Linked DNA regions of Ovis aries. The protein of the gene in region 1 purifies or fractionates together with the protein of each later gene. This does not show direct contact. Links are inferred from orthologs where the notes say so. Each region holds a gene or a part of one and is shown in the gene's direction. Other genes may lie near its edges.

Region 1 (4,229 bases):
TGGTGCTGCCGACCCTGAAAATCTCTTGCTAAAAGCCAAAAGGAAAAATTATCTGCCAAAATGCATATTTTCAACTTCAGGGGCCACAGCAAACCTCTTTACCTCTGAAATTTCATTAGCAACGTCAAATGGTACCCAGTCCAGAGGCATATTCTGCACTGTACATCCTTGTTGATAATGGAAGCTTTCTGAGTAGCAAAAGAATGTTACTGCACTCCACTTCCTTAAGCAAAGCCTTTTGTCCCAAGAGGCAGTTGAGCAACCACCAGTGTCTCTGACTGAATAGCAGCTGTATGAGGCTGGCTACAATTCCCACAGTTTGAAGCCCAATCTTAGAGGAGGAGAATTTACTGAATTCACATAAGATTTACATTAAAAAAAAATGCAGTTATTGAGGTGACATCTACACAGTTGTCTACGGAAGGAGACAATATTACAAAATAGTCTTCTTTTTCACACTATACAACTCTCTTCCTTTCTAATGTGGTATCCCAGTAATTTTCTCTTTCCAGAAGAGAGAACAATGCAGAATATAACTGCATGCACAGGTAGTACTAGCGTCTAAACTCAATTCTCTCTCCTTGTATTTTCTCAATTCTATATTAGAAAAGATGATCATTTTAAGCAACAATACACGACATAAAATATATTAACATAGACTTCTGGAATATTTCCAGTAGAGTAAGTATGGTGTGTTCATTAGATCTGAATTATCTTCATGTTAGAACTACTTGTGTGCTTCCATAGATTGATTGTTCTTTTCATCTAGTGTTTTTGTTTAGCTTTTAGGGAGAGGGTGGCAAAAGAAGGTCTGAAAAAAAATTACTTGAACCTGAGAAACCATTTTGGATGGTTATTGAATAATTTTTTAATTAAAAAAACAAAACAAAACAAAACACATTTACCCAAGCCATTTTAAGCATCATTCCCATCTTCTCTTCTACTTTATTTTTAAAGCACTAGAGATACTGAATCTTCACCAAATGTGGGTTTAGCACACTCTGAGGGAGAAGCTGAAAGTAATTTTCTATTAAAATATTTCATCTCAAATTCTGCGATTAAATGCTGGGAGGAAAACCTTTACATTGATGATTTTAACAGCAGTTTGAGGTTTAAACAATATAAAGTCACCCAACTCCAGTTCTCTTTCCCTCCCTCCCCCCACCCCTTCCCAACCCCACCCCGTAATGGATGCTCGGCTGACTGTTTTTGCTCGGTCTCTTTGTCTGAAGGATGCAAGCAGTCTATGGATGCTAGGGGAAAAGGGGTGGGGGAGAGATTACCTCATCCCATGTCGCATGCACCAATCACCACTCTTCTGTCGCGGCTCCTCTGGGCAGATTGAGGGGTCTGGACCAACAGGAAAAGGCCCCAGCCCATCCCCATGGTGACCGAGTTGTATATAGGGAGCCTCAGACGCCCATGTGCCGCAGGTTCTCTTACATCGACCGCCTAAGAGTCGCGCTGTAAGAAGTAACAACCTCTTCTCCTCTCCGCCATCTGCTCGGCAGCCGCAAAACAGCAACTATGGTAAGAGTGTCTCCTCCGGCTCTTTGTGACGCTGGGTGGGGTCAGCCTCCCCAGGGTCTCCTTGGAAAATCTTAAAACCTTTGTCCTTTACAACTCGATGGGTAAGAGTAGCTTTACATTTTATTTGCGAGTTTTGGCTTTGTCTGCGGCCGGACTCCCCGCCGCAGTGCGGGGTGCAGGAGCCCCACCACGACTGAGTCCAGGGCGCGGCTGAGCAGTGAGGGGGAACAAAGGCGGCGCCTAGGGAGGTTTTGTTACCCAAGTCCCTGGCAGCCGCGTGCAGCAGCCCATCTGTCGGTCAAGAAAGGGGCTGGGGCAGGCAGGGCGGTCTTGGCGTCGCCTGCTCGGCCCCCGTGTGCGCACGATAGTCGTGTGACTCGGAGAAGCCCTTCCTCGCGTTGTTCCCCAGGGACAGGGAGAGGATTCGTCGACCGAAAAGACGGGGGTCGGTGGGTGTAGCTGGGAAGAAGACTCGGGGAGAGAAGGAAAGGGACAAAGCGGAGCCTGAGGTTAGTATTAAAAAAAAAGGATCCCTCGCCAGTTCGTTGGTGTTTTAGAAAGACACCCATGTATTAACAGGCAAAATGGTTAGTTTCTGTGGCGGCCGGCGTCGAGGCGGCGCAGGGGCGGAGTTGTTTGTTTCTGCTTCTCTCGCCTTGGAGCCGCTGGGAGGGGTTCGTCCTCACTAAGCCTCCTCTGTCAGAAAGACTTTTAACAAGCCTTTCATCTTTACAGAACCGTAGGCGTTAAAAGGTTTTTCATTCACTGTCAAAACTTAGATTTTTTTTTTTTTTGAGGAGCAAAGTCACAGTTCACATGACAAGCCCTTTAACGTCTGGTCTGGGGCCGCCCCGCCCTGGCTGACTCCTGTGTGTCTGTCTTGATCGCATGTTCAGCGAGAGAAAAAGCCGATTTTGTGAGCCAGGGTGCTCTAATGCAGAGGACCCAGGGAAACGCCCTTCCCCGCCCCCAGCCCCCGTTTGTCAGTGACTAGACAATGGACAGACAAAGGAAGTTGTAACCGTAAAGGCTACGGAGGGGACACTCTACTGAATGTAATGAGCATGAGTATTCTGTGGTGGGTACGAAATTTCAGAATGAAAACATTATTTTGTTGTTTTATATAAATATTTAATTATTTCACTGGGCTTTAAGCTTGGTAGCTTTTCATGTTCTATTTATTTCTAGTTTAGGAACTGTTGTTTTAAAGATACTAATACTTTTTCAGTTTTTTGCAGAGGAGAAGATTCTGGGAAAACTTTTTTAAATAATGAAAATGCTGCAGACAAAGAAGACTTATACTTTGTGTAGCTGTCTTTTGTTCTAGTGCATCTTCATGAATTCATTTCAGTTTAGGCATATGGTCCCAGGCTGGGTCAGAAGAGGAAAACTGGCAGATAGCACAATGAGATCATGTAGGCAGTTGCTGGAAATAGAGCTTGCTCTGTTAAATAATGTAGCAGACAGTACAGGCTGGCACCAGGCACAGCAAATGCAGCAGTGCAGGAGACAGTCCTTGTTTAGCTTCTACCCCCTAATACTGATGGATTCTGCAGACAGACTGCAGAAGGGTGTGGCTTCTAGCCTCAGCTGCAGTACAGATGTCCATATTGAAATACCAAGTCCTATCAAAAAAATGTTCATCTTTAAAGGTGAAGGAGGCAGTAATAATGATTGCAATTAACTAGTGATTGAAATTACTTCATTTTACAAAAATTTTGTGCTTGACTATTTTTTAAATATGAAAAATCTTCTATTCAAGTATGGCTGTTGGAACAATCGGCTTGCACCATGTGCTTAACAGTGCAGCCTTATCCAGACCACACCCATCTGCAGCATTTGTAGCAAGTGCTTTTCTTTAACTGTTTCTATTATGTTAGGAATATGACCTCAAATAAATTCAAAGAATACTTGTATATTACTAGAAATCATTTTGGAAATTTATTGAAAATTGAAAATGCTAATATAACTAATTTTACAATTTTTCTCTTTTCCTTCCCACAGCGTGAGTGCATCTCCATCCACGTTGGCCAGGCTGGTGTCCAGATCGGCAATGCCTGCTGGGAGCTCTACTGCCTGGAACACGGCATTCAGCCCGATGGCCAGATGCCAAGTGACAAGACGATTGGGGGAGGAGACGACTCCTTCAATACCTTCTTCAGTGAGACAGGCGCTGGCAAGCATGTGCCCAGGGCAGTGTTTGTAGACCTGGAACCCACAGTCATTGGTGAGTTGACCTCAGTAGCTTCAATGAGAATCCTGAGGGTCTGTGACAGGAGGTGTGTCCTGTGGGCTCCACTGATACCCTGGGGTGGAGCTTGTATGGGTCATTGATGGGTGGCTGCTTCGTTTTCCTCTTCCAGATGAGGTTCGCACTGGCACCTACCGCCAGCTCTTCCACCCTGAACAGCTCATCACAGGCAAAGAAGATGCTGCCAACAACTATGCTCGAGGTCACTACACCATTGGCAAGGAGATCATTGACCTCGTCTTGGACCGAATTCGGAAACTGGTATGTGTATTCTCAAGAATAAAGTAAATTAATGAACCTAAGAGAGATATTTATAAAGTTCAATTAAAATATGGCCTATTTGATGTCATTTGATAAATATTCATGAAGATATTTTTAATAAAGAAATGCTGAGTAATTTAAGGAAGGTCTACATTTTAAAAGTTTCTGTCAAAATGCAATCTCATTC
Region 2 (4,296 bases), about 38 Mb from region 1:
GTATGATTTGGGGTAGATGTGTTTGGATATAAGAATTTCAGTAATATTACAGCTGTCTGTATTAGATGAGTGTATTTAAATGGCAGCCCACTCCAGTATACTTGCCTGGAAAATCCCATGGATGGAGGAGCCTGGTGGATTGCAGTCCGTGGGGTCGCAGAGAGTCAGGCACGACTGAGCAACTTCACTCACTCACTCATTTTCCTTAATAAATGTTTTTATTTGTGAGATTTCTGTTTCCAGAGCCAGAGAATGTCCTTGGAGCAGCCTGGGCTGGAGCAGGTCTGGCTTGTCCAGTGCCATTTGTCCAGGACACCACAGCTTCCCTTTTTTAAGCATTTGCATGCATTTGTGAAGTCTTCGCAAATGCAGATGCACCGAAGCAGGAAGAGTGGAGAAGGTGGCAGTGCTAGTTGGGGTGGTCCTTCCTCAGTGCCTCCAGATTCTTGCCCACATGGGGGATGGTCATACAATTTATTTTCTAACCCGGGACACTGTTGAAAGTGTTCTTTTTATTAAGACCAGGACAGCAGGTGTCAACTTCAATTATCCTGAAAAAACCTAGATGTATGTTCCCCTTTGCCTTGTGGCAGTTTGGGCTCCCAAGTTTGCCAGATCTGTAGATTTTTCAAGAAGAACCAAAAATTTGATTTTCTATGTGAACGCCCCTCATTTTAAATAGCTTCTGTTTTTTAGAAAAACACTGTCTGGGCTAAACTAGCAATCCTAGTTTATATACTCAGCTTTAGGATATATAACTAAAATTATGGACATTTGAATTTTTATAAAAGATTCCCCACTCTACCCTGAAAGTGCTGTGTATGTTTTATTAGTTAGCTATTACTGTGTAACAGATTTCCCTAAGACTCCATCTATCATTGCTCACCAGTCTGTGGGGCAACTAGGCAGTTCATTTGGTCTTGCTGGACTCAATGCATGCATTTATGGTAAGCAGCCTCATGGGTAGTTAGCTCTGTTGGTCTTGCCTGGGCTGTCTCACGTGTTTGGGATTTGGTTGGCTACTGGTTGGTCTAGGATGGCCTAAGATGGAACAGCTGGGCTTCCCTCAACATGGGCTCTCATCTGGCTCAGGCTTGTTTACATAGTGGTGGCAGGCAGAAAGGGCAGATTCAAACCATGCCTCTTGAGCATGGAACTCACACACCATCACTCCGGCCACATTCTGCATGGGCCAAAGCAGGTCAGAAGGCCATCCCTGATCCAAGACCTGGGCACCTGGGCTCCAGCCCTGATGGGAAGAACTGCCAGGCTACCTTGGAAAGGGCATGAGTATAGGGAGGGGGTAAAGAATTGAGGATGTTGTTGCAATCCATCTACCACAATTACTATTCTCATGTTTAAAAAGTACATGCTTTAATAATAGGACAGATAAACCTATTTTCTTTTCCCCCAGATAAACGAATCCAGCTATACATGAAGAGCCTGCTTTGTCTGCCAAGCCCTCCAAGATGCATGCCTCCCGTGCCAGGAGGCCTTGCTGTCGTTCAGCAAGAGCTGGAGTCGCTAGGCTCGCAATACGCAAACATCGTGAATCTCAACAAACAAGTGTATGGACCATTTTATGCAAATATACTCCGAAAGCTGCTGTTTGGTGAGGAAGCCACAGGGAAGGCAGAAGCTTCTTCATCTACTAACTAAAGAGGAAATGACACTGGAAAAGAGATTGGAAGCCCAGCACTTAGGTACCCAGTCTGTTTCCACCAGCGGCATTACAGATGGGGCACATTCTCGATCCTGTGTGAAGCACAGTGTTAGCCCGAAGTTGTGTAACCCAGTAACATCAGCATTGCAGAGACATGCACATCACAATGCCCCCACATGTGCACCATTTTCGAGTCCTAAAGAGACTTTTTAACGAACAGAAAGCTATTTGTATTTAATTTTATTACCTATATAATACTTGTAAATGTTTTCTTAAGCATTTATATCTGGCTTATTCATTCAACCCTTAAGGAGTTGTATTTCCTCACCTGTTACTATCAGATCTAATGATTTTTTTTTTTAAACTTTGGTACAGCTTCTTAAAGGGTTGAAAGTTGTGATCATAACCAAGTGGACTGATGTTCTAAACAAATGATGTGAAGTAAGGATAATTGTATTTGAAATGTACAAATTAAATTTTACTCATATGTAATAGAAACTTACATAGTCCTCAAATTCTACAAATATACCTAATCACATTTGGTGATACCGATGGTCAGTATTTGTTTAGAATTTAAATGTATTAAATACATTTTTATGCTATGTACAAATTTTAGATAAAACCTCCCGTGATGATTTAATGGAAATAGAAACAAACCCCTTCTAAAATCTCATTCTAGAGGGTGGATTCTTCTTGCAACTTATGCTGCTCTCTGAGAGAAACACTTTTTGCACACATCTCTTTGTGAATGTCCTTGCATTTCTCAGGCCATTGCTAAGGTTTATATAAGATTTTAATATTTTTACATAAGGCAAGAGTGGTTTGAATTGGTAACTTGAATTTACTTGTAAGAAAAAGTTGATAAAATGGGACCCCCCATTCTCAGTGAAATTCACATCTGAAAAAGAAACAGATGTACTTTGGATTATTTTTCTTCTTTAAGCATATAATGTGCTAGCAAATGCCTTCTCTGTGGATTTAATTCTTACCCCACCGTGACCAAGAAGCTCTTCTCAGTACCATTATCATTTGCCATTCTTGTGCATTAAACTTTGCCACGCTGGCACTGCTTGTCAGGATCCTAGAGAAATCTGCTTGTCTTTGAATTACATGCTTCTGAAGTGTTGAGGGAAACACTGCTGGATAATGCTTTATTTGCATAAAATGCATTTTTGATGGTTTGATTTTCTGAGGACTCCTTGAACTTTAGCGGTCTGGTGGAGAAGAGCAAGTAGGAAGAAAAAGATTAATCCTTCTTTCTTCTTTACCTCCTCTTCCTCACCATGACCTCTACCATTATGGTGCTACCTAGTGATTTGATGAAGACCTGGGAAATTGTTGTGTGGATAACTTATCTCTGATCCTTACATTTTGGAGGGATCTGCCAAATTGAGGAAATGTTGAACATCAGCTTTTTTCTCCCAATGACCAATACATAAATCACCATTTTGTCCATTTGAGCAGCTATGTAGAAGTGGAATTTACTGAAGAGCACATCATTGGTCTTACCCATTTTTTCCCTCCTCCTGTATGTCCATTCTGCCTGTTTCCTGTGCTTAGAAATCATAAGGTGCTGTAGATTTTTATTTGCATTTTCTCTTAAGTTGAAATTGTTTTCAACTGTTCACTTTGGGGCCTGGACAGCACAGAGGGTCTGAAAGGTAGCGTGTAGTGTGATTTTTTGTCACTTTCCCGGTGAACTGTATATATAACTAGAAGACCAGGTGGTATACTTTTTTACTATCAGATTGGAATCTGGCTGGTATTCTTATATACTTGATTATACCATAGTTGCCAGCAGGAAAACAGTGTGCAAACATTTTTTTTTTTTTGGATGCATTTTAAAATGAAGGGCATTCTGCTTTTTTTTTTTAAAGTGGCAAAGTAAATCTCAATGTCCCATCTGGATTTAAGCAAGTACATTTATTAGGATTTTAAAATCCTGTCCCTTAGCATGTTGTTTATTTGGTTTTTACTTAAATGTTTACTTCTACTTTTGAGAATTTTCTTAACATGGTCTTGTTTTGTAATGTCAATTTTCCTAAACACCATACACACATTTTCATTCTTCTGCTAAAACATGTATTGTGCACACTAGTTACATTGTAAAACATTAAAAGTTATTTCAAGATAGATGGTGTCTCTGTTTTCTAAACCACCTTTGGGTAGCTTGGGGCTGGAATATTGCACACTCTTTATTACAGTGGTTCTAGAAGGAATCTTCTACTTAATGTCAAAGCCTCACAGACATCAATCGTGTTCATTCATTCATTTAGTGAACAAATAGCTATTGAGCATCTACTATGTGTCAAGAAGTATTCTAGGTATTTAATACACAGATGACTAGATAGACACTGTCCTGAGAAGTTTGTAACTTAGTAAGAAGGACAAAATTGTGAACAATAGCAATAAAGTGTAATTCGGGCTATGCTTTTAAAACAAGTACACATAGTACAGAAAGTGAAGAACTAAAGAACCGCTTGATGAAAATTAAACAAGAGAGTGAAAAAGTTGGCTTAAAACACAATATTAAAAAAACTAGGATCATGGCATCCGGTCCCATCACTTCATGGAAAATAGATGGGGAAACAATGGAAACGGTGACAGACTTTATTTTGGGGGGCTCCAAAATC
Region 3 (4,193 bases), on another chromosome or scaffold:
TGAGTACTTAACATTTGTCAGCGACTATTCTAAGCACTTGAAATACATCAGTGAGCAAAAGGAAGCCCTCACCTCCGCAGTGGGGCACACTTGGGGGGGGTTGCTGAGATGAGGAAGGAAAACAGCCGCCCGAAAGAGCTGAGGAGCGGTGGGGGTGAGGCGGGGGCGGGGCTTGCTCTTCGTACTAGAGTGGTCGGGGTCCTTAGAGAACTTGAGCAAAGGCCTGAAGGTAGGGAGTGAGCTTATCCAGACATGCACAGCAAGGCTAGTGCAGGCAGCAGGCGACGAGAGTCCTCTGAGGCCTCTTCTGAAGGCCTTGGCTTTTACTCATTTCACAAGTGAGCCGCTGAAGGTTTCTGAGGAGTCATTTGCTGTGCCTTATTCTGGATCACTGCAGCTGCTGAGCTGAGCACAGACAGTGGTGCAAACAGCACCAGACCAGATGGGAGGGCAAGGCTGGGATGCTGGCCCAGTGGGGAGTGAAGACGGGCCTGGGTATTCTCTGGAGTTGGAGTCCACTGAGTCTGAGGTGTGAGAGAGTCTAGCACATTCACAAAACGTCTAGGATTCCACGTTTGTCATGATACAATAAAACGTCTAATGAGGCCAGATGACCCCCTACAGCAGTTGTGAATTAGTATTTAAGAGTTCAGAGGAACTGGGATCTAGCCTTAGGGGCCTCATCTCTGTTCAAGTACCTCGACTTTGATCTCAGATTAAAGGTTGGGCTCCAGCCTTGAACTGTTATTATCCCCTTCCCGGTGCCCTGTGCATCCCCTCCGTGTACTGCTGGGCAGAACGCCTAGTGTGCTCTGGCCCCGCCACCCCTCTACTACTCCCTGACCTGCACGGTGGCCGAGCGGCCTCCATGGTCTTCTCATAACAGGAGGTTTATACAAATGGGGTTAGAAACGGCCTTAAATAACAATCATTTCACTCGAATTCCAACCAATAACTTAAACAGAGAAGTCATTACAAATGCTTTCATGCGAGTGGGTGTGAAAACGATGAGGTTCACCTTGACCCCTACACGCAGCTGGACAGGGCGGCTTTTTGTCTTCTGCTCTGTTGGCGTCCAGACTCCAGTTCTCACCTCGGGAAGGTGCCCGGGAACCACGGCTACGCAAAGGACCCCTTCCTCGCGGCGGATGGCCCCGGAGCGGGGAGAGGGCGGGGCTGGTGCGAGCCCGCCCCGGGGCGTGATCGGGGGCGGGGCGCCGCGGGCCAGCCTGGGTGAGGGCGTGGCTCACGCGAGCCCCGCCCCGGCTATGCTTGGGGGCGGGGCCTCCGTGGGGCGGGGCGAGGGCGTGGTTGGCGCGGGCCTCGCCCCGGGGCGTGCTCGGGGCGGGGCCGGGCCTGGCGCCACGCGGAGCCGCCCCGCCGCGCCGCCCCCGAGGCAGCTCGCGCGGTCGGAGTCCGGCCGCCAAGCCCTCGCGCCCTTATCTGGGTGCCCTGGCCCCCGACTTCGGGTTTGCGGGCAGCGCATCCGAGTAGACGGTTGGCGCGTGGGGACGGCGGTGACCTCGGGCCGCCCGCCCGGCGCAGATGGCTCAGGCGAGGATCAGCGCCAAGGCCAACGAGGGCCGCTTCTGTCGCTCCTCGTCCATGGCCGATCGCTCCAGCCGCCTGCTCGAGAGCCTGGACCAGCTGGAGCTCAGGTGCGCGGGGCGGGGGCCGCGCGGGGACGGAGCTGCGGGCGAGGACCGGGGGGCGAGGGCGGAGCGGAGGGCAGCGCGGCGCTGGGTCGGCGCGGCGGCCCCCCACCCTTCGGCGGCCCCGAGCGCCGGGACCGCGCGACCCCGAACAGAGGAGGTAGGGGGGACGTGACTCGAGACGACGGCCGTGCCGCCGCGGAGCTTCCAGAACCTTCCGCGGGGGGCCAGGTGTTTCCGGCCCACTCCCCGCCGCGAGCGGTTTTAGGACCGGGGCCGGTTAGTGGTTTCTGTGCTGAGCGACCGAGCCCTTTGCAAAACGGAAAAATCCGTCTGGCCTCAGGCCCGAGAGCAGCGGACAGGTGTCTCCCCAAGCCGCGCTCGGCCTCACCGGGGCGCCGTCCCACCTTCCCGGCCGCCAGGGCCCGAGCCGCAGCGCTCCCTCCCGGTCGGGGTGTCCCTGCGGTCGGCGTGTCCCCTCCCGGTCGGGGTGTCCACGGCGGTCAGCGCGCAGAGGGAAGCCCTGGCGGCGAGGGTCGGGCTGAGGTCAGCGAGGATGTGACTTTGGAGCAGGGCCCGGGGTCAGGCGCGCAGAGGTTACCACCGGTCAGGAGGAGCTGCTGTCTCCCTTAAAGCTTTTAGTGCTTTTCTGAATTTGAGAAGATTTAGGAATCTGAGTTCCTGAAAACCGGAGAGCCTGTTTTGCCAGTTTTCCCAGAGCACAGAGTGCCTCACCCCGGCTCTTTCCCTGAATTCTTTCCAGGCTGTGCTGCTGTCAGTTTCTATAGAAACCGGTGTGGGGACCCTGCTTAGTGACAAATGTAGTCACCGGCTTGTATAGGATTCCTAAATAATGTGTAAGAAATTTGGGAAATAATCTTTTCTCTAACAGTGAATGAAGACTTCTGTGTACTTCCCATAACTTCTTATTGTCATTGAAGGTCCGGTAAATTGTGTGCAGGTGTAATTACAGGCAGATCTTACCAAGGCGTCCAAAACTCCCTAAAACCACAGGTAATTTTTCCCATAGTTACCAGACTCTGAGTGAGCAAAGGAATACATGTAAGACACAATTTTAAGAAGGGCTGCATATGTGTCTTTATCTCAAAACAGGACAAGGGGTCTGTTTGCCAGTAAAGTACATTAATAACCAAATGAGGCACTTATTATCATTTATTAATATTTATGTTGACTTTCATCATTTATTGTATAGTTCTTTTTATTATTACAGAAAGAAACAATGTCTTCTCAGAAAATGAGACGCTCACCACCACGATTTCACGGAGAGTGACAATGGTCCTTCTCCAGCTGAAGCAGGTGGAACAGGCAGAGCAGTTCCTGTGGACGATTTTATGTAGCAGCGTTAACAAGTGACTGAGCGTCTCTGGTCTCAAGAACTTTGAGGGCATGTTCTCAGCCATTTCAGGGGGGCTCTTCCCTAGTTGGAAAGAAAGGATGTTTTCTTCTCAGCTCGGGCAGGACACAGTTCCTTTCTTGAAGCTGAGTTATTGTTCTAAGACTTGAATTGATGCCTCACATAGGGCAGGTGCTCATCTTTAAAAGGAAGTTTCTTGTTTGAAATATTACGTTCTAGGGCTTCCTTAATGTGAAATGAATTCTGATTACCGTGTACAAGTGGTTAATCACTTGCTGAATTAACCCTTGAGCTGAGACTGATAAATGTGTGTTCAGTTGTTCATTTTAAGGACTTTTCTAGTTTTAGACTGATGAGCTTTGTTTCTTTCTTTTAAAAAAAAGTGATGCTGACAAAATTAAGTCTTTTGGAAGGTTAAGTAAAAAATAGAGAAGTTTATGAAGGCAGATGGGTCATGGAAGAGAGCACTGAGCTGTTAGAAACTAGAATCAGGCCCAGAAGATCAAGTTTAAAAAGAAAACAAGACATTCATGTGTTAACTGTCATTTACTTTCATGTTACGAGTGGCTAATAAAGCAGTGTTGCAGGCACACTGAAAATCACAGACTGTACCAGGAGGTCTGTGTTTACTGTCCCTCTGTTGTGCTAGTCTCAGCAAAAACTTTCTCCGCATGAAATCGAAAATAGAATTATGCTCAGTGCTTCATGACCTGCCATGTGAACTGGTGTCCATGGTGTTTAAAGTTTTTCAAATGTTTGACCGCATCTCACAAATCGCTGAAGAAACTCCAGTTGTTTCTAATGCGTTAGCACGAAACTAGATCTCCTTTTTTGCTTCCTCCTAAAAAGGTGATGTCTCTCTCTACGGGTTTTCGTGACCGTGCAAATGGCCTCTGACTTTTCCATTTGTCAGTGGCTCTGAGCACTTTGCTCACGATTGTTACTAGTTTAGCAGTGATCATATAATTCATAAATGATACCCTCCAACAGGTATCTTAGCTAACCAGCATGACTACAGGTCCTGTGTCTTTGTGGAAATTATGTCACCCTCATTGTCCAGGCGGGAAATTGAGGCTTGAGAAGTTAAAAGAGCTCAGGAGTGGCTGCAGAGCTTAATGCTTTACGCCTGAGTTTTCTGAGTTACTATGTCATATTTCAAAGTGTAG
Region 4 (3,500 bases), on another chromosome or scaffold:
CTGCCCAGGTCCCGGCTCCCCGTGGAGCTGTGAAGCAGCGTCTGCCTTGGGCCGGTTCCTGTTTGGTCCTCCTCCCTCTCCTGCCTTCTTTCTAGGTCTCTGAAGAAGCCGCCAGGGACCATGCTTTCTAATGCCTGCTTCTTCAGGCCTGCTTTCCTGCACTGTTGACGGCTCTCTTAAGAAAGGCTTGTAGTTTCCCCGCCTGCTTCCCCATCCCCGCTCTGAGCGTTCCTTCAGCTCAGGTCTGCCTCTGGTCACTGCCGGCTACCTGGGGGGTTCCCAGTCATGGTCGCCTGTGCGCGGGGTGTGCTGTGAGCCGCAGTCCCCGCTCGCCTGCATGCTCATGACCGTGTTCTGCTCACTGTTCTCCTGTTCCTTTCGCCACCCAGACGCGTGGACCTCCTGCTTTGGCCACGCCTGCCTGGCTTAGAAATAGGCCGTGCCGGTTCTCTTGCTTCTGTGTCATGGGTTCGTTTCTCTGAACCATCTGTCAGGAGTCCTTGCTTTTATTTCTCAGAGAATTCCCATTTCCTAGAAAAAATACAGCACCGATTGATTTCATAGTGAACTTAATAGGGAACCTCAGTGAGTTTTAAAAGTTTGTCTAATTCATGTTTTCAGTAAGTGCTCATTGATTGGTGACAGCCACCAGAAAGAGCTCCGTGTGGACAGCTTTGCCCCCAGCTCTCTGCTCAGTCTGCGGTGCGTGTTGATGACCCTGAGCTTTATGTTGGGGCACGTTGTGTCCTGGTTTCAGATGAGTCTCGGCAACCGCGGTAAAGCCGCAGGTTAGGGGGATCGCTCTGAAGGCGAGCTGCGCTGGGGAGAAGCTCTGCTCCTGCTGGAACTGTGTCAGGAGGCACCGCCCGCATTCCCTTCGCAGCTCTCCTGTGGAGAAGCACCCTGGGGTCAAGGCTTCACTAAGCACTTCTGTTTCTTTTTAGAAGACCCGTTTGAGGACTTCTTTGGGAATCGAAGGGGCCCCCGTGGAAGCCGGAGCCGAGGCACGGGCTCGTTCTTCTCTGCTTTCAGCGGATTTCCCCCCTTTGGAGGGGGGTTTCCTTCCTTTGATGCAGGTACCACACCCTCAGACTCCCCTGGTGTCTGAGTGGGCGCCCGCGCAGGCTTCTGTCACTCAGGGCACTCTGTAGTGTGCACATGCCTTTTGTGGAGCAGCTTGGGTTTGCCACTGTTTGTGTATATACAGACCTTTGCTTAGTAACCCACATTCCCGCCCACCCCCGCCCTAATGTTCCAAAGAGATGTTATACTTGAGAACCTACTTCAGATCTTCACTGTTAAAGGCCAGTATTTAATGAAATTCTTGGTTAAAAGGAATGAGGTTTTGGGATAAATAACTGGAATAACTCAGATAATCTCATTAAATCCTTTTTAATCTAACCTCCTCAGCAGTTTAAGGAAAAAAAATGTCCTGGGGAGTCCTAGTCGATGGGGTCAGGAGCTAAGGCTGTAGTGGGGCCTGCGTGCGCCATGCCGAGTCTACTGGTGCGGTTTGGCGCGTGGCACTGGAGGCCATCCATCCGCTGGAGTCAGGCACACAGCCTGGCGCAGCCGCATTTCGCGTGGAGAGTTGGAGTCTCAGCTCTTCTCTGGTGCTCGCCCAGCTCCTCTGTCTGTTCTGGGCCTCCCTTGTGTGACTGTCCCACGCTCTGTGGGCAGCACAGGGGACGCGGCTCCCAGACTCTGCTCCTCCGAAGCCAGGGGTCTGTGCCGCCCAGGGCCAGTGCAGCTGTGCCTCCCTCCGGCAGGCCCTCTCCTCAGATGCCACGTGGTGTGCCGGGAGTTAAGGGAGAGTCAGAGAAGAAAGCTGGGCAAGCCTGTCAGAGCATTTCACTTAAGGAGTGTGTGTGGCATGCCGTCCTCCCCTTTAAGGAGCCGTGGGGAGGGCATGTTTCTGCTGTAAGGGGGCATTCAGGATGGGACAGGCAGCGGGCTCCAACAGGCAGAGCAGCCTCAGCCCCAGCCCAGAGTGGACTTGCTTTGTTGTGACTTCTGAGAGTCAGGGTTCATGTCCTAGGTGAACACCTCATAGCTGAGAGTTAGTCCAGGAACTCCAGACCCATACTTCTCCTGATAATTGTGGCATTCTTGCTAAAATTATTTCAGCTTCCTGGCAATTGAGATTTGTATCCCCTGTGGTCACAGTTACAGGGAGCCAGCAGAAGCTTGTTGGGTGTGCCAGTCTGTGGTGGGGTTTGCTCCATCCTGTGAGATGTGTGGGGGCAGGGTGCTGGCCCGTCGGTAGGGGAGGTGGCCGGGCGGCTCCACAGGGGCTTGCGTCTGCTTCCCTGGGCTGGCTGCGCGTGCTGCGCTCATCTCTGACCCCTCTGCTGTCTCTTACAGGGTTCGGTTCCTTCGGCTCACTAGGCCACGGGAGCCTTACGGCGTTCTCCTCCTCCTCGGCCTTCGGCGGCAGTGGGATGGGCAACTACAAGTCCGTATCGACGTCGACGAAAGTGGTGAACGGCAGGAAGATCACCACCAAGAGGTGCGGGCCTGGCGTCTGTGTTCTCAGGCATAGGTGTGGGGGGCATCACCGGTGCCACCCCCGGGAAGGGCAGGGTGTCTGGGCCATCTGGGCCCCCTCCGATCAGAGCTTGTCCTTTGAGATGTCTGCTTCCTGTGGCACATTGGATGTTGCTCCGTCCAGCGTGCAGGGGTGCGTTGGGATGGCAGTGCCTCCGTTGTAGCGCCTTGGCCGCTTCGGCAGCTGCTGCCTGTGCTCAGCCAGAGGCGCCCGCGCTCAGGACGCTGGCTTCCGCCACAGAGTCGCTGGCTTCAGGGGCGCCCGCGGCGGGTCCTCTGAAGGTGCGCGCTCAGGTCCACAGGCAGGCCTGCTCACCTCAGATGACGATCTTAAGGCGTGTGCTATCCCCCTTGCCTCCCCTCCCGCAGGATTGTCGAGAATGGTCAAGAAAGGGTGGAAGTTGAAGAAGACGGCCAGTTGAAGTCCTTGACGATAAATGGTAAGGAGCAGCTGCTGCGCTTGGATAACAAGTAGCTGACGCACGCGCGTAGCAGAACCCTAACTCTGGCACGCGCCATGCGAGGATTAACAGGAACATTTTTTTGAAGATTTCAAACGAACTCGACTTTCAGTATAACTGTACCTAATCTAAAGTATTTATACGCAGCTCGTCGGAGCCCTGTTTGTCATAGACTTTTGAGTTTACTGTTGGGACCACGTAATAGGACCATTTTATTTGTCTTTAAAATTGTTGTAAATCTCTGTATGCACTTTGCTTTTTATTAAACGTAATCCAAGGTGGCCGTGACTCTTTCGTACACTAACACCAGCACGGACTGCTTTTCCATTGTGTTTGAAACGTGAGCCGAGTAGTCTCAGCCTGCTGTGAAGTTAACATTGCCAGGATGACTCTTCCACAAGATAATCTCAGTGTTTTCAGTATTTAGCAGTGACGATGTTAATACGTTGATGGTGATGCATTTCTGGTTTAATGTGCATTGAGGATGTTTTC
Region 5 (4,191 bases), on another chromosome or scaffold:
AGAATCCGCCTGCCAATGCAGGAGACATGGTTTGATCCCCGGGTCAGGAAGATCCCCTGGAGAAGGAAATAGCGACCCACTCTAGTATTCTTGCCTGGAGAATCCCATGGACAGAGGAGCCTGGCAGGCTACAGTGCATGGGGTGACAAAGGGTTGGACACGACTTAGTGGCTAAACAAGTAAACATTATTATATTATCTAATAGCTAGTATACAGGCTGGGGATCTTATTGTTAAGTGCAACGGAAAGTCATTCAAGGCTTTTAAGCAGAGAAATTATATGATCTGACACGTGTGTAAAAAATCATGGCAGGGAAAAGGATCGGGGTGAGAAAGAGATCCTAAGATATTAGGAGTGGAGGCAGGGAGACCAGTTAGGAAGCCCTTGCCTGGTGGGAGATGATGTGACTTGGCCAAGAGGTGGTGGAGATATATAATAGTGGACAGATTCAAGAAATGGTTTAAAGGTAAAGATTCGGATAGGGGACACAGGAGAGAAATCAAGGAAGATACCTGAAGCTTTGCAGTGAACAACTAGGTGGTGATTTACTGAAATGAGCAAAGGGGTGGGTGGAAGGGGTCAGAGGGTCGTTTCTGGTTGTTTTTTTTTGTGTTGTTGTTCTTTTAAGTGTAATATTTATTATTCTTTGCGTGGTTACTATGTGCCAGACGCTGCGCTAGACGGCTTACAGATTAAAATTTCACAATACTATCAGTAAATGCTGTGCCTCAGTTTTGTAGAAAAGAAGCTTAGGCTTAGACTTGGGACAAGGCGCATGTTCTCACCGCTAGAAGTGGTGGAAGCTGAATTCGAACCTAAGTCTGTCTGCTTCCACGGACATCAGGCCTCTTCTTTGCGAAACGAAGACCGTTTCGCGTGAGTTTTGTTAGGAGAAGGCAAATCATGACCTAAGCGTCGCGTCCGTTGTACCGTTGACTTTCAGTCATTGTCCCCGCCCATCTCGCTCGCGTACCTCCTCCCGGGCGTCCAGCGCCTAGCTCTATATGAATGAAATTCCTAGACTTGTAACCAATATAAAACTTCCCTCCTGCAATTGGCCAGTGCTGGAGGAAGAGCCTTGTGATTGGTAGAGAGTCCAAGGAGGCGGGCGGAGGGAAACTTCTCGTACCGTGGACGCCGGCTCTAGGACGCATCCTACATCACCAATCTTTACGTAATTTTCTCCGACTGGCAGGTGCCTGGGCCGGACGGATTCCTGCGGCGGCGCGATTCTCTGACGTTTCCCCTTCTAATTGGCCGGGAGCTGCGGCTGCAGTCCCGAAGCCTAACTGGCCGCCCGCGCCGCCTCGGAGGTGAAGTGTACTGCACTGATTGGCTGTGAGGCGCCGGCCGCGTGTGATGTCCGGAGCAGCGATTGGCTCTGGCCCGCTAGGGGCTTCTCTCGCCGGGACTCGGGACTCCCGGGAAGTGGACTGGTAGAGGAGGGGGCAAGCTAGCTGTCGCTGCTAACTAAGTCGGAGACCCGGGCGTAAGACGGCTTCTCAGGGCCCGGTGGGCTGACGAGCCGACGCGGCGGCGGGGGCTGTGAGGAGTGCGGGGGACCGGGGCCGGCACAGAGGGACTATGGCCCCGCAGAACCTGGGCACCTTCTGCCTGTTGCTGCTGTACCTCATCGGGACCGTGATCGCCGGGTGAGGAATTGGAATCTGCGGGCACGGGGCCATTAAGTCAGTCTTGGCTAGGAAGCAGGCTGGGGAGAGAAGGGGACATTGTCCGACGGGGGGAGTGGTAGGGGGCGTTGCTGTGGTGAGGCGGTGGAGAGGAGGAGTGGGTAGTGTGGGCCAGGCTAGTGGGATGGAGAGGACGACAGTGGGTGACCCGGGAGATAGGGACTTAGACTCGGAAGCCCTAGAGCTAGATTTGCCCAGAGAAGCGAGGGTTGGATGCAGTGACAAACGCAACGTGGGATGAGGGGCTGCTGAGTTTGGAGAAGGGGACGATACAGTGTTAAGTCTACGACGAGCCGTTGGGCTGGCATTAAAGTGGGTGGGTTGTGATACCAGGCAAAGTGAGGAAGTGGGGAGAATAGGTAGGGTAGCCATGCCGGGACTGAAAGAAATTGGAATGAAGGAGCAAGGCAGACCCTTTGAAGAGCCCTTGTACCTTTCAGCTTCGTGAGATACTGAGCCTAAGCTGTCATGCCTCATTGTCTCTCCAGGAAGTATTCTTAGGGAGCTGAGTAGTATTACAAGCAGAGGGGAGAAACATTTCACGAATAGCCAGTAGACTGGAATTCTAGCCCCACCCAACTTATGAATTATGTGACTTTGAAAGAAAACCAAAATTCCCATCTTTGACATGAGGATGATAATGTGCCACCTGTTTGAAGGAAGCAGGACCTCCTGGACTCTAGAGATTCTCCAGCCTTTAAGATCCACTGTCCTGTAGGGCCGGTATCCACTGAATTTGATATGTCAGGCTCATATTTAGAATGTGGAAAATAGTAAATCCTTAGCTTCTGACAAATTTGTAGGTTACTCTGAAAGAAGAAAGCACTACCTAGAAGAACTTGACACTTTTAAGTGCTTATTATTCTCTTAAAAGTCCCCCCACCCCGTGTGCATATATGCTTAAACTTTTTTTTTTCCCTTGTGAAACATCTTATATTTCTAAAATAAAAATCTTCTTCTCCTAGGTAAAACTTTATTGTATTTTTAACATGTTTTTGTTAGCACTTTTTGCACTTAAAGCAATGTGTACCTTAAGTTGTTGAACAAGATGTCAGCATGCTGCTGCTGCTGCTAAGTTGCTTCAGTCGTGTCCAACTCTGTGCCATCCCACAGATGGCTGCCCACCAGGCTGCCCCGTCCCTAGGATTCTCCAGGCAAGAACACTGGAGTGAGTTGCCACTTCCTCCTCCAATGCATGGAGTCGCAAAGAGTCGGACACGACTGAGTGAGTGAACTGACTGAATGACTGCAAAATTGATATTTTCTCTTTTTCAGCGCAAAACTCCACAACTCATACATTCAAATGAATGTTATTCTCTTTTCAGGCTTCTCTTGTTTGGGCTTTGACTTAACTTCTGTGTTAACCTTTGAAGTTAATTTCAGCCACTTCATCTTTAACATTCAAAGAGTGCTACTGTTAGAATGTTTATGTGATACAATTTTTTTGGATAAAGAAAATCATCCTTTGAGATTATTTGATCTTTGGAAGCAGTCAAGTCATTTGAAGTCGATAATAGAGGATGACAAAGAGACTCAATTTGATTATAGCGGTATGACCATAAAATAAGAAAATGACTTTCTTGACTAAAACTAGTTATCCTAAGAATGCCACAGATACTTTGAATAATCCTAGCATTGTTCAAAAAGTACATAGCCTCTCATTATGATTGCTTCAGTGTATGAAACTCATTACAAATTCTGGTGTGGTTTTTTAAGTCATTCTTTTTGTGTGTCACATATGTACCTTCATTTTCCTACCTCTTTGCTCAGACACAAACCTAAATGTAAAGGAAAAAATTTCACTTTTAAAAATGTAATGTATAACCCTTTAATGAAGTATCTTCTCCCTCTCCTGCATCCCCAGGCGAGACTTCTATAAGATCTTGGGGGTGCCTCGCAGTGCCTCTATAAAGGATATTAAAAAGGCCTACAGAAAACTAGCCCTGCAGCTTCATCCTGACCGGAATCCTGATGATCCACGGGCACAGGAGAAATTCCAGGATCTGGGTGCTGCTTATGAGGTGAGTCAGGAAGAAGGTAAAGTATAAACAAAACCTTGCAGATACAGAAAAGACCATGTAACGCAGAGTAACACTCCCGTTTTTCAGGTCACTTTTTAAAAGAAATAGACAGTAGATAAAAGTAGTGCTCAGTGCTGTATTGTACATGTATTTTAGAAGGTACTACTTCCTGCCCTTTTCATATCAGCATTTGTTTTATTAAGGAGAGTAGTGTTGAAAAAGATGAATGAAAGCAGATAGAATTGGTAGATTAATAGTAGATTGGAAGTTGGAGCCAGAAGCAGAAACAAAATCTAAATGAGGATTGCAAATCCACCCGCCTACGTGGACCAGGCAGATAATATGCATGGCAGGTATTAGGTAAAACAGGAGAGTGGATATTCTGCCTCCATTTTAGCAATCATCAGGGAATGAAGAGGACTCTGACAAACTGAAGACTTCTTGACTCATTTCAAGGGGGCAGCTGTTATTCAACCCCA
Region 6 (4,097 bases), on another chromosome or scaffold:
TTTTTGTACTGTGTCCTCAAATTTAATGGATTAATGTGTCTTGTATATATAAAAAGAAAACCTCTACCTTCAGCCTCTGCCCATTCTTGCTCCGTCTAGGATGTCCTCAGTCTCGTCGATGACCAGCTTGGTGAATAAATATTACTGTACCAACTGGGCCTTCTCTAGCAGGCCCCGAAGGCGGTGGAATAAAAACGAAATCTTCGCCCTTTAAGAACTCCTCTGACCTTAATGTGCTGCCCTTGAGGGGATTCCCTCGCCCTCCCTCAAAAATTTCACAGTGGTGCCTGTAAAGAATCATTGCAAATGTTCATTTCCGTCATCTGTAGCAGATTGTAGGCAGTGAAGGGAGTGGGATAGCTGATACTGGGTGGAAAGGGAGAGGATTAACCAAGAACTGAAAGAAATCGCTTTGTATTGATAGAATCAAAGTTTAATTTAGATGGGTCCGTGCAAATGAACTGGAAAGAAATGAGTGCGAAATATGCACTGTTGGCTAGCAAAACTGAAGCAGTAGATCTTGCTGTTTGAGTGTTTTCATTTCACATAGCTAATATCCACACCCTTGAAGAGGAGGAGGCTGGAGCAAGGCCAGGTTTGGGAAGGAGGTGAGGGCACAGAGAGGGGGAGAGGCTTTGAAAGTCACTGATAGGCAAAAGGGGACACTTACACCTCCAAATTCTTCCTTCCCAAAACTTGACTAGATTTCCCTTGCGCTCTCACAAAGTTTATTCTGATGGTTGCAGAGCCTACGTTGGCAAACTACTTAATAGCTGGAGAGATGAAGTTAAATCCATGCATTCCTGTGTCTTTTACTCTGGGGATGTCATTATTAAAGTAGAAGGAGCTTGATACATTTTGTCCATTCCTCTAATACTAGACTTAAGTCAGGCGAGAAACAAACGATGAAAGAAGGGAGCGGGTGGGTTTAAGGCAGAACACTGGTCCGTGGGTGTGGTGAGTCTGCAATGAGGAAGGGTCTGGGTCCGGTTAATTTCTGTGGGTGGAGTGCCCTCTGGCGGCTGTCTCCAGTGCCATCAAGCGTCAAACCCTCGAAACCCTACTGGAGTGGGTTGGTCGGCCTAAAGAATTGGCTTAGAGGGCAAGTGTTCGTTGGGAAATAAAAACTCAGTACGCCCGCTCCCTTCACAGGAAGCAGGTGGGGGCAAAAGTGAAAGCCTTTAGAATTTGATAGGATCGCCCGCCCCGCCCCTCAGCGACGTCCGGCTTACGGTTGTTTTACGACAGTGTGCGATCGCATGCTTGCTTTCCGGCAGCGTGGTCTGACGCTTCGCTCAATTTCCGACAGCGTAGCTCTGGCTGCTACCCGCTGTGGGCTTCAAAGGTTCGAGTCCCACTACGGGAATGAGCCTTTTTGACCTCTTTCGGGGCTTTTTCGGCTTTTCTGGACCTCGGAGGTGAGAGCGGATTCCGGCCAGACACGGAGGGGCGGGAGTACTCGGAGGGGAGCTTGACCCTGGACACCCTATTTTTGGAAAAACATCCTTTTCTACCCTCCTAAAACTCCTGCGGGGAAAAAAAGGTCAACACTGAACACTCACCCCCCGACAGTAACCAGGGCGGTCGCTAAGAGAAGAAACAGCCGCTTAAGCTTTTCTCCAGTTTAGGGTGATGTAACAGGGGACCGGGTGGGGAAGACAATGGGCTCTGGAGTCGAGGACAAGTGAGCAAGACCTTGGGGGAGGGCAGGGGCTGGGAAACACTTAAGAAAAGCCGCAGGGAAGCGCTGGGGGCGGGGCGGGGTGGGGTGGGGCACCAGGTGAGGACTGACGTTGATGAAGCAAAACAAACCCGATGGCCAGTCCTCTACCCTCACTCCAGGCCCTCAGATCCCAACTCTTGTCCTACTCGTCGAGTCTTAGCTGATGCTATGGTTTAAGTGCTGAAATTTTGGTGGCTAATCTGCCTCCACCCCTAGCCACAGAGATCCCTTTTTTGGAGGAATGACTCGCGATGAAGACGAAGATGATGAGGAAGAGGAAGAAGAAGGAGTCACGTGGGGCCGTGGGAACTCGAGGTTTGAGGGTCCCCAGCCCCCTGAGGAATTTAGCTTTGGCTTCAGCTTCAGCCCGGGAGGAGGAATGCGTTTCCACGATAACTTCGGCTTTGATGACCTAGTACGGGATTTCAACAACATCTTCAGCGAGATGGGGGCCTGGACCTTGCCTTCCCGCCCTCCTGGTGTGTGGATGCTCCTGGGGAAGAACCTGTGGTTTCTACTGGGTCGGTGGGTGAAAAAAAAAGACTTGCAGAGAGTAGTTGGGGGTGTTGGGAAGTGTGAGAAAGCTGATGATTTCAAGGAGATTTAAAAGAGCCCAAGTCCTTTCCTACTCCCAGCATCCACCTGCCACCTTTCTGCAGAACTTCCAGGTCCTGAGTCAGAGACACCTGGTGAGAGACGGCAGGAAGGACAGACGCTTCGGGACTCAATGCTTAAGTATCCAGATAGTCACCAGCCCAAGATCTTTGGTGGGGGCTTGGAGAGTGATGCAAGATCTGAATCCCCCAAACCAGCACCAGACTGGGGCCCCCAGAGACCTTTTCATAGGGTGAGTACATCTGGGCCTGAAGTGGGAGCTGTGGAGAAGACTGCAAAGACTGGAAACCTTGCTGGAATCTAACAGACTTGGGTTGTATTTGTCTGTTTTCTATATTAAGCTTTGTGTAGGATTTTCTTTGGGAGGAAATGGGAGTTCTGCTTTTTGTTAAAAATTACTGTAGACGATGCTTGGAGAAAGCAGAAATGTTTGAAGGAGGACAGAAAAGTGTCAGTTCAGGAATGCTTTTTTGGTAGAGAAATACATGAATCAGGTAGGAAGGAGGGGGAGTGAGTAAAGAAAGCCATCCTGCTGGGATCATTTCTCCTGAAAAAAAAAAAAAAAAGTAGTTTTGGAACTTGGAAATAGGCTGGGTTCTGGGGCCCCTCAAACTTCAGATTGAAAGGTGTCATTTGACCTACTTTGGCTTCTTCTACAGTTCGATGATACGTGGCCTGTGACCCCCCACTCTAGAGCCAGAGAAGACAATGGTAAGTCTGGAGGGAGAGGACATTTACCAGCCCTTTGGTGTCCCTCCCTGAAATTTCTGTCTGCCACATTTGTCCCCTTCTTCGCTTTGGACTCTTTCTTGTTTCCTTTCTGTGCCCTTCTAGATCTTGATTCCCAGGTTTCTCAGGAGGGTCTTGGCCCAGTTCTGCAGCCCCAACCCAAAACCTATTTCAAGAGTGTCTCTGTGACCAAGATCACTAAGCCAGATGGGGTGAGTTGGGAGAGATGGGTAAAGGCAGCTGTGACCAGAGAATGTTCTGGAAAGGGGGACTATGTAAAGAAACAAGTGAACCCACCTTTAGTGATGTTAGGGATATGGTGGGGGGACTTCTTCTTGTAGACTATAGAGGAGCGCCGGACTGTGGTGGACAGCGAGGGCCGGAAAGAGACCACAGTAACCCATCAAGAGGCAGGCGGCAGTCCTAGAGATGGTAAGTGAAGAGTATAAATCAAAGGGATCCATCTCTTAGTTCCATGGGAAAGGGAAACTGTTGCTCTCCTACCATTAAACATTGCTGCCCTCCTTTGCCTCTTTCCAGTCTCCTTCATTTAGCCTGTGTGTATCACTCTTTCCCTTAGGTCCAGAATCACCAACACCTCCATCCTTGGATGATTCCTCTTCCATCCTGGATTTGTTCCTAGGACGTTGGTTCCGGTCCCGGTAGCCTTGTTAATTAATCACAGAGACCTTTAGATTCTTTCCACTTCCCACCCTTTGCTTGGTATTAATGGGCTTAGTTGTCTTCCTGCCACCTCAGGACCTTGGGTGTGTGGAACAGTGAATTGAAGGTCTGTCAGTGTGTCAGTCACCCAAACTGACCAATAAAACCTTTATTTATGCTAATTCTTTGGTCTTGGTTTTGTCGTGGCTATTCCACTTTCTCACAGTATCCAGGGCTTCCCAAATTAACTTGGCCCACAAAAGATTAGCTCTTTGCTTTACTTGCAAAACTGATTCTGATAAGTAAGGACCAGGTACCTTTAGGAAATGATTTTCCTTGTTAATAAATAACTAGTGATAGTTCCAGG
Region 7 (3,974 bases), on another chromosome or scaffold:
AAACAGCTGGAACCACCCTCTTTAGCCAACCTACGTTTCGTGGACTAAAAACGCACCCTGATGAAAGAGCAGGCTCATTTTGAAACCCTCGCTGTTATTTGTGTGCCCCACACTCGCGGGCTTTTATCAGGACTGGAGCAGGCTCCCGAGTGCCTGCAGCGCGGTGGGCGGCAGGTCTGCGGGCCCCGGTCGTTAACACGTTTCCAGGGGTTGCCCACACTTTCTCCCGAGAGTCTCGGCTCGCCGGGCGCGGTGGGAACTAGTGGACCAGACTGTGACAGAAAGAGAGAATTTATGTGAGGGACGGGAAGAAGAGAGGGCGCCCGACAGGGTCCCCGGGTCAGCGTGGCTGAGGGATTTGCACGAATTTATCAGTACTATTAACAGCTATTTGCAGAGGGTTGTTTACCGCCGAACGCGCGACAACCATACAGCGGAGCCCACTCCGCACCCCCAAGCCACGCCCCCTTGCCCCTCAGCACCCCTCCTGTCCCCCAAACTAATTAATTCGAGGCGGTCCGCCTGCTAGGCCCTCCCATTGGCTCCCACCCCATCCAATAAGAATCTTGCAACAGTTTCACCTGGCTGCTACTTCCCAAATAAACAAACAAGCCGTCCCGGGACCCTGCCAGCTCTCCTCCCGGGCGCCGCCCGAGACCGTTGTGCTCCGCCCCCTCCCACCACCTCTCGCCCCCTCCAGCCAATCGAGCCCGGCCGTGGTGCCCCGGCCCCGCCGCCGTCTCCGGCTGCTCTCTCCTCCGCCACTCTCGAACTTCTCCCGATACTCCCCCAAACCCCAGTCCGTGCCTCCTTGGAGTCCCCGTTAGGACCAGCGTGGCCAGGGGCCCCGCCTCCTCCCGTGGGTCCTCCCGAGACCCACAGGCCGGGAGATTCTCCCAGAGGGTCTAGGAGGGGTTGGAGGCCGCCCCACCTCTCGGGCCGGCCACCCCCTCCCTCGCACACCTCTGCCGGCGGCGGCTCGCGCCCCTCTGCTGAGCTTGTAGCAGGAGCCGCAGCGGCCGCCGCGTGAGGCAGCGGTCACGTGTTGTTTTGCCCGCCGCCGCGCGCTTGGAGTGGAGTGGGCGGGGGCGCGGGCCTAGGCGGAGGGGGGGCGGGGCGGGCGGAGGGGGTAGACGGCCTCTTCCCCCAACTCTCCCGTCCCCGAGCCCCCCCTCCCTTTCGCTCACCTTAAAACCCTCGTGCATCACCATGGCTAGCTGCTCCTTCGCTCGCGACCAAGCGACAAGGAGACTGCGAGCTGCAGCAGCGGCAACAGCAGCGGCTCTAGCTGCGGCGGCGACCACCCCATTTCTTTCCTCGGGAACCCCCACCGCACCCATTGGGACCGGGTCGTCTTGTCCGGGAGCCATGTGGCTCTCCACGGCCACTGGCTCCCGGTCAGACTCGGAGTCCGACGAGGAGGACCTTCCCGTCGGGGACGAAGTCTGCAAACGCGGCTACCTGCGGAAGCAGAAGCATGGGCGCTGGCGCTACTTCGTGCTCAAACTCGAGACCGCCGACGCCCCAGCTCGGCTGGAATACTACGAAAATGCCAGGAAGTTCCGGCACAGTGTCCGCACCGCGGCGGCTGCAGCGGCGGCGGCCGCCTCCGGCGCCACGGTCCCCGCGCTCATTGCACCGCGGCGCGTGATCACCCTGTACCAGTGCTTCTCGGTGAGCCAGCGGGCCGACGCAAGGTACCCACACCTCATCGCTCTTTTCACCCAAAACGAGTATTTCGCGATGGTGGCCGAGAATGAGTCGGAGCAAGAGAGCTGGTACTTGCTGCTCAGCCGCCTCATCCTCGAGAGCAAGCGCCGCCGCTGCGGCACGCTCGGCGCGCAGCCGGAGGGAGAGCCGGCCGCGCTAGCGGCTGCAGCGGCGGTGGAGCCACCCTTCTACAAAGATGTGTGGCAAGTAATAGTCAAACCCAGGGGGCTGGGGCACCGAAAAGAGCTGAGCGGCGTGTTCCGGCTCTGTCTTACCGACGAGGAAGTTCTGTTCGTGAGGTTAAATACAGAAGTGGCCAGCGTGGTCGTCCAGCTCCTGAGCATCCGTCGCTGTGGGCACTCGGAGCAGTATTTCTTCTTGGAAGTCGGTAGGTCCACCGTCATCGGTCCGGGGGAGCTCTGGATGCAAGTGGATGACTGTGTGGTGGCCCAAAACATGCACGAGCTGTTTTTGGAGAAGATGAGAGCCTTGTGTGCAGACGAATACAGAGCCCGCTGCCGCAGCTACAGCATCAGCATCGGCGGCCACCTGTTAACCCTGCTGTCCACTAGGAGGCACCTGGACATGCTGCCGCTCGAGCCCGGCGGCTGGCTCCGAAGGTCCCGCTTTGAGCAGTTTTGCCACCTTTGGGCCATCGGTGATGGGGAAGACGAGATGCTCTTCGCCAGGCGCTACATAACACCCAGTGAGCCTGTGCCCCGCTCCAGACGAGGAAGACTACACCTGCCCAGAGGGCGCAGACCCAGGAGAGCGACTTCAGTGCCAGCCAGCTTTTTCCGCCACACCGCACCCAGCCCTGTGCGCATCCTGTACCCTGCAGAAGCCCTCCACGACCGAGATCCCGTGTCTTCTGAAGCCTCTGGCTCTGGCTCTGGCAACTCAGGTGAAGAAGGTGGTCCTCAGGGCAAAGAGGATCAGAAAGAAAACGAAGGTGACTATATGCCCATGAACAACTGGGGCTCGGGAAATGGCCGGGGCTCAGGAAGTGGACAGGGTTCAAGTGGGCAAGGCTCCAGTGGCCAAAGCTCCGGGGGAAGTCAGTGCTCAGGCAGGGGGCATGGCTCTGGAGGTGGTCAGGGCTCAAGTAGCAGCCATGGCTCAAGTGGCAGCGGCTCCGGGGACCAGAGTGCAGGAGGAAACCAGTGCTCCGGGGACGGCCAGGGCACCGCTGGGCATGGCTCAAGCAGTGGCCAGGGAGCTGGAGGTGGGCATGGCTCAGGCCGTGGCCAGGGACCCGGAGATGGCCATGGCTCAGGCGGTGGCAAGAACTCCGGAGGTGGCAAAGGCTCAGGAAGTGGGAAGGGGCCCGAAGGCAATGGTGATCGTGGGAAATCTCTGAAGAAAAGATCCTACTTTGGCAAATTAACTCAAGGCAAGCAACAGCAAATGCCACCACCTCCGCCCCTTCCACCCCCACCAGGTGCAGCAACTGGTGGGAAAGGGAAGTCTGGGGGAAGGTTCCGACTTTATTTTTGTGCAGACAGAGGGGCCACAAAAGAACGCAAAGAAGCCAAAGAAGTGAAAGACACGGAGCCCCCAGAAGGTGCAGCTCGGGGTCCCCACAGAGCCAGAGCTTTTGATGAAGACGAGGATGATCCGTATGTGCCAATGAGGCCAGGCGTGGCTGCTCCTCTCGCAAGCTCCAGTGACTACATGCCCATGGCTCCTCAAAATGTCTCTGTGTCCAAAAAGCGCCACTCTCGATCACCTTTCGAAGATTCTAGAGGGTACATGATGATGTTTCCCAGAGTGAGCCCACCACCTGTGCCAAGTCCTCCAAAAGCACCTGATCCTGCTAAAGAGGATGACTCAAAGGACAATGACAGTGACAGTGACTATATGTTCATGGCCCCTGGAGCTGGTGCCATTCCTAAAAACCCCAGAAATCCTCAGGGAGGCTCTTCCTCCAAAAGTTGGAGCTCCTACTTCTCTCTGCCAAATCCTTTTCGGAGCTCCCCATTGGGACAGAGTGACCATAGTGAGTATGTACCAATGTTACCTGGAAAATTCCTAGGAAAGGGCCTAGAGAAGGAAGTCTTATCTAACAGAGGCCCCAAAGATACAGCTTCAAAGCCTTCAGTTGAAGGGTCTTTCTCAAAGCCTAGAGATGGGGGATCACCTTCCAAGCGTTCAGGTGATGGGCCCCCCAAGCACAAGGCTAAGAGACCTAATCGACTTCCTTTTATGACAAAAGGAAACAAAGTCAAGCCAAAACCACAAAAGCCCACACAGGAGCAGAGAGA

Evidence for each region.
Region 2: the proteins of tubulin alpha-1A chain (region 1) and TCP11L2 purify together in Homo sapiens (affinity purification with mass spectrometry; 3 studies listed by BioGRID and IntAct, counting the BioPlex papers as one, with this or other methods). This does not show direct contact. The link is inferred for Ovis aries from reciprocal best matches to the Homo sapiens genes TUBA1A and TCP11L2.
Region 3: the proteins of tubulin alpha-1A chain (region 1) and BAG2 purify together in Homo sapiens (affinity purification with mass spectrometry; 4 studies listed by BioGRID and IntAct, with this or other methods). This does not show direct contact. The link is inferred for Ovis aries from reciprocal best matches to the Homo sapiens genes TUBA1A and BAG2.
Region 4: the proteins of tubulin alpha-1A chain (region 1) and DNAJB6 purify together in Homo sapiens (pull-down; 3 studies listed by BioGRID and IntAct, with this or other methods). This does not show direct contact. The link is inferred for Ovis aries from reciprocal best matches to the Homo sapiens genes TUBA1A and DNAJB6.
Region 5: the proteins of tubulin alpha-1A chain (region 1) and DNAJB11 purify together in Homo sapiens (affinity purification with mass spectrometry; 3 studies listed by BioGRID and IntAct, counting the BioPlex papers as one, with this or other methods). This does not show direct contact. The link is inferred for Ovis aries from reciprocal best matches to the Homo sapiens genes TUBA1A and DNAJB11.
Region 6: the proteins of tubulin alpha-1A chain (region 1) and HAX1 purify together in Homo sapiens (affinity purification with mass spectrometry; 3 studies listed by BioGRID and IntAct, with this or other methods). This does not show direct contact. The link is inferred for Ovis aries from reciprocal best matches to the Homo sapiens genes TUBA1A and HAX1.
Region 7: the proteins of tubulin alpha-1A chain (region 1) and IRS4 purify together in Homo sapiens (affinity purification with mass spectrometry; 3 studies listed by BioGRID and IntAct, with this or other methods). This does not show direct contact. The link is inferred for Ovis aries from reciprocal best matches to the Homo sapiens genes TUBA1A and IRS4.

The regions. Positions count from the first base shown.
Region 1 is NC_056056.1:137,067,885-137,072,113, forward strand, and holds the start of tubulin alpha-1A chain, read left to right. Parts: upstream 1-1,429; 5' UTR 1,430-1,527; coding exon 1,528-1,530; exon of another isoform or gene 1,531-2,039; intron 2,040-3,534; coding exon 3,535-3,757; intron 3,758-3,893; coding exon 3,894-4,042; intron 4,043-4,229. UniProt on the Homo sapiens protein: Tubulin is the major constituent of microtubules, a cylinder consisting of laterally associated linear protofilaments composed of alpha- and beta-tubulin heterodimers.
Region 2 is NC_056056.1:175,308,353-175,312,648, forward strand, and holds the end of TCP11L2 (T-complex protein 11-like protein 2), read left to right. Parts: intron 1-199; exon of another isoform or gene 200-1,414; coding exon 1,415-1,659; 3' UTR 1,660-3,796; downstream 3,797-4,296. UniProt on the Homo sapiens protein: Promotes the migration of muscle-derived satellite cells (MDSCs) during differentiation throught interaction with FMNL2 and therefore may participate in microfilament assembly.
Region 3 is NC_056073.1:3,197,015-3,201,207, reverse strand, and holds the start of BAG2 (BAG family molecular chaperone regulator 2), read left to right. Parts: upstream 1-1,393; 5' UTR 1,394-1,545; coding exon 1,546-1,658; intron 1,659-1,660; exon of another isoform or gene 1,661-2,666; intron 2,667-2,883; exon of another isoform or gene 2,884-4,193. UniProt on the Homo sapiens protein: Co-chaperone for HSP70 and HSC70 chaperone proteins. Acts as a nucleotide-exchange factor (NEF) promoting the release of ADP from the HSP70 and HSC70 proteins thereby triggering client/substrate protein release.
Region 4 is NC_056057.1:120,224,443-120,227,942, forward strand, and holds part of DNAJB6 (dnaJ homolog subfamily B member 6), read left to right. Parts: intron 1-944; coding exon 945-1,076; intron 1,077-2,364; coding exon 2,365-2,509; intron 2,510-2,916; coding exon 2,917-2,987; coding exon of another isoform or gene 2,988-3,022; exon of another isoform or gene 3,023-3,500. UniProt on the Homo sapiens protein: Has a stimulatory effect on the ATPase activity of HSP70 in a dose-dependent and time-dependent manner and hence acts as a co-chaperone of HSP70. Plays an indispensable role in the organization of KRT8/KRT18 filaments.
Region 5 is NC_056054.1:201,421,354-201,425,544, reverse strand, and holds the start of DNAJB11 (dnaJ homolog subfamily B member 11), read left to right. Parts: upstream 1-1,391; 5' UTR 1,392-1,584; coding exon 1,585-1,652; intron 1,653-3,555; coding exon 3,556-3,712; intron 3,713-4,191. UniProt on the Homo sapiens protein: As a co-chaperone for HSPA5 it is required for proper folding, trafficking or degradation of proteins.
Region 6 is NC_056054.1:104,558,408-104,562,504, forward strand, and holds HAX1 (HCLS1-associated protein X-1), read left to right. Parts: upstream 1-1,297; 5' UTR 1,298-1,365; coding exon 1,366-1,418; intron 1,419-1,939; coding exon 1,940-2,244; intron 2,245-2,382; coding exon 2,383-2,570; intron 2,571-2,997; coding exon 2,998-3,049; intron 3,050-3,172; coding exon 3,173-3,279; intron 3,280-3,408; coding exon 3,409-3,499; intron 3,500-3,647; coding exon 3,648-3,733; 3' UTR 3,734-3,912; downstream 3,913-4,097. UniProt on the Homo sapiens protein: Recruits the Arp2/3 complex to the cell cortex and regulates reorganization of the cortical actin cytoskeleton via its interaction with KCNC3 and the Arp2/3 complex. Slows down the rate of inactivation of KCNC3 channels. Promotes GNA13-mediated cell migration.
Region 7 is NC_056080.1:126,436,312-126,440,285, forward strand, and holds the start of IRS4 (insulin receptor substrate 4), read left to right. Parts: upstream 1-1,174; 5' UTR 1,175-1,209; coding exon 1,210-3,974. UniProt on the Homo sapiens protein: Acts as an interface between multiple growth factor receptors possessing tyrosine kinase activity, such as insulin receptor, IGF1R and FGFR1, and a complex network of intracellular signaling molecules containing SH2 domains.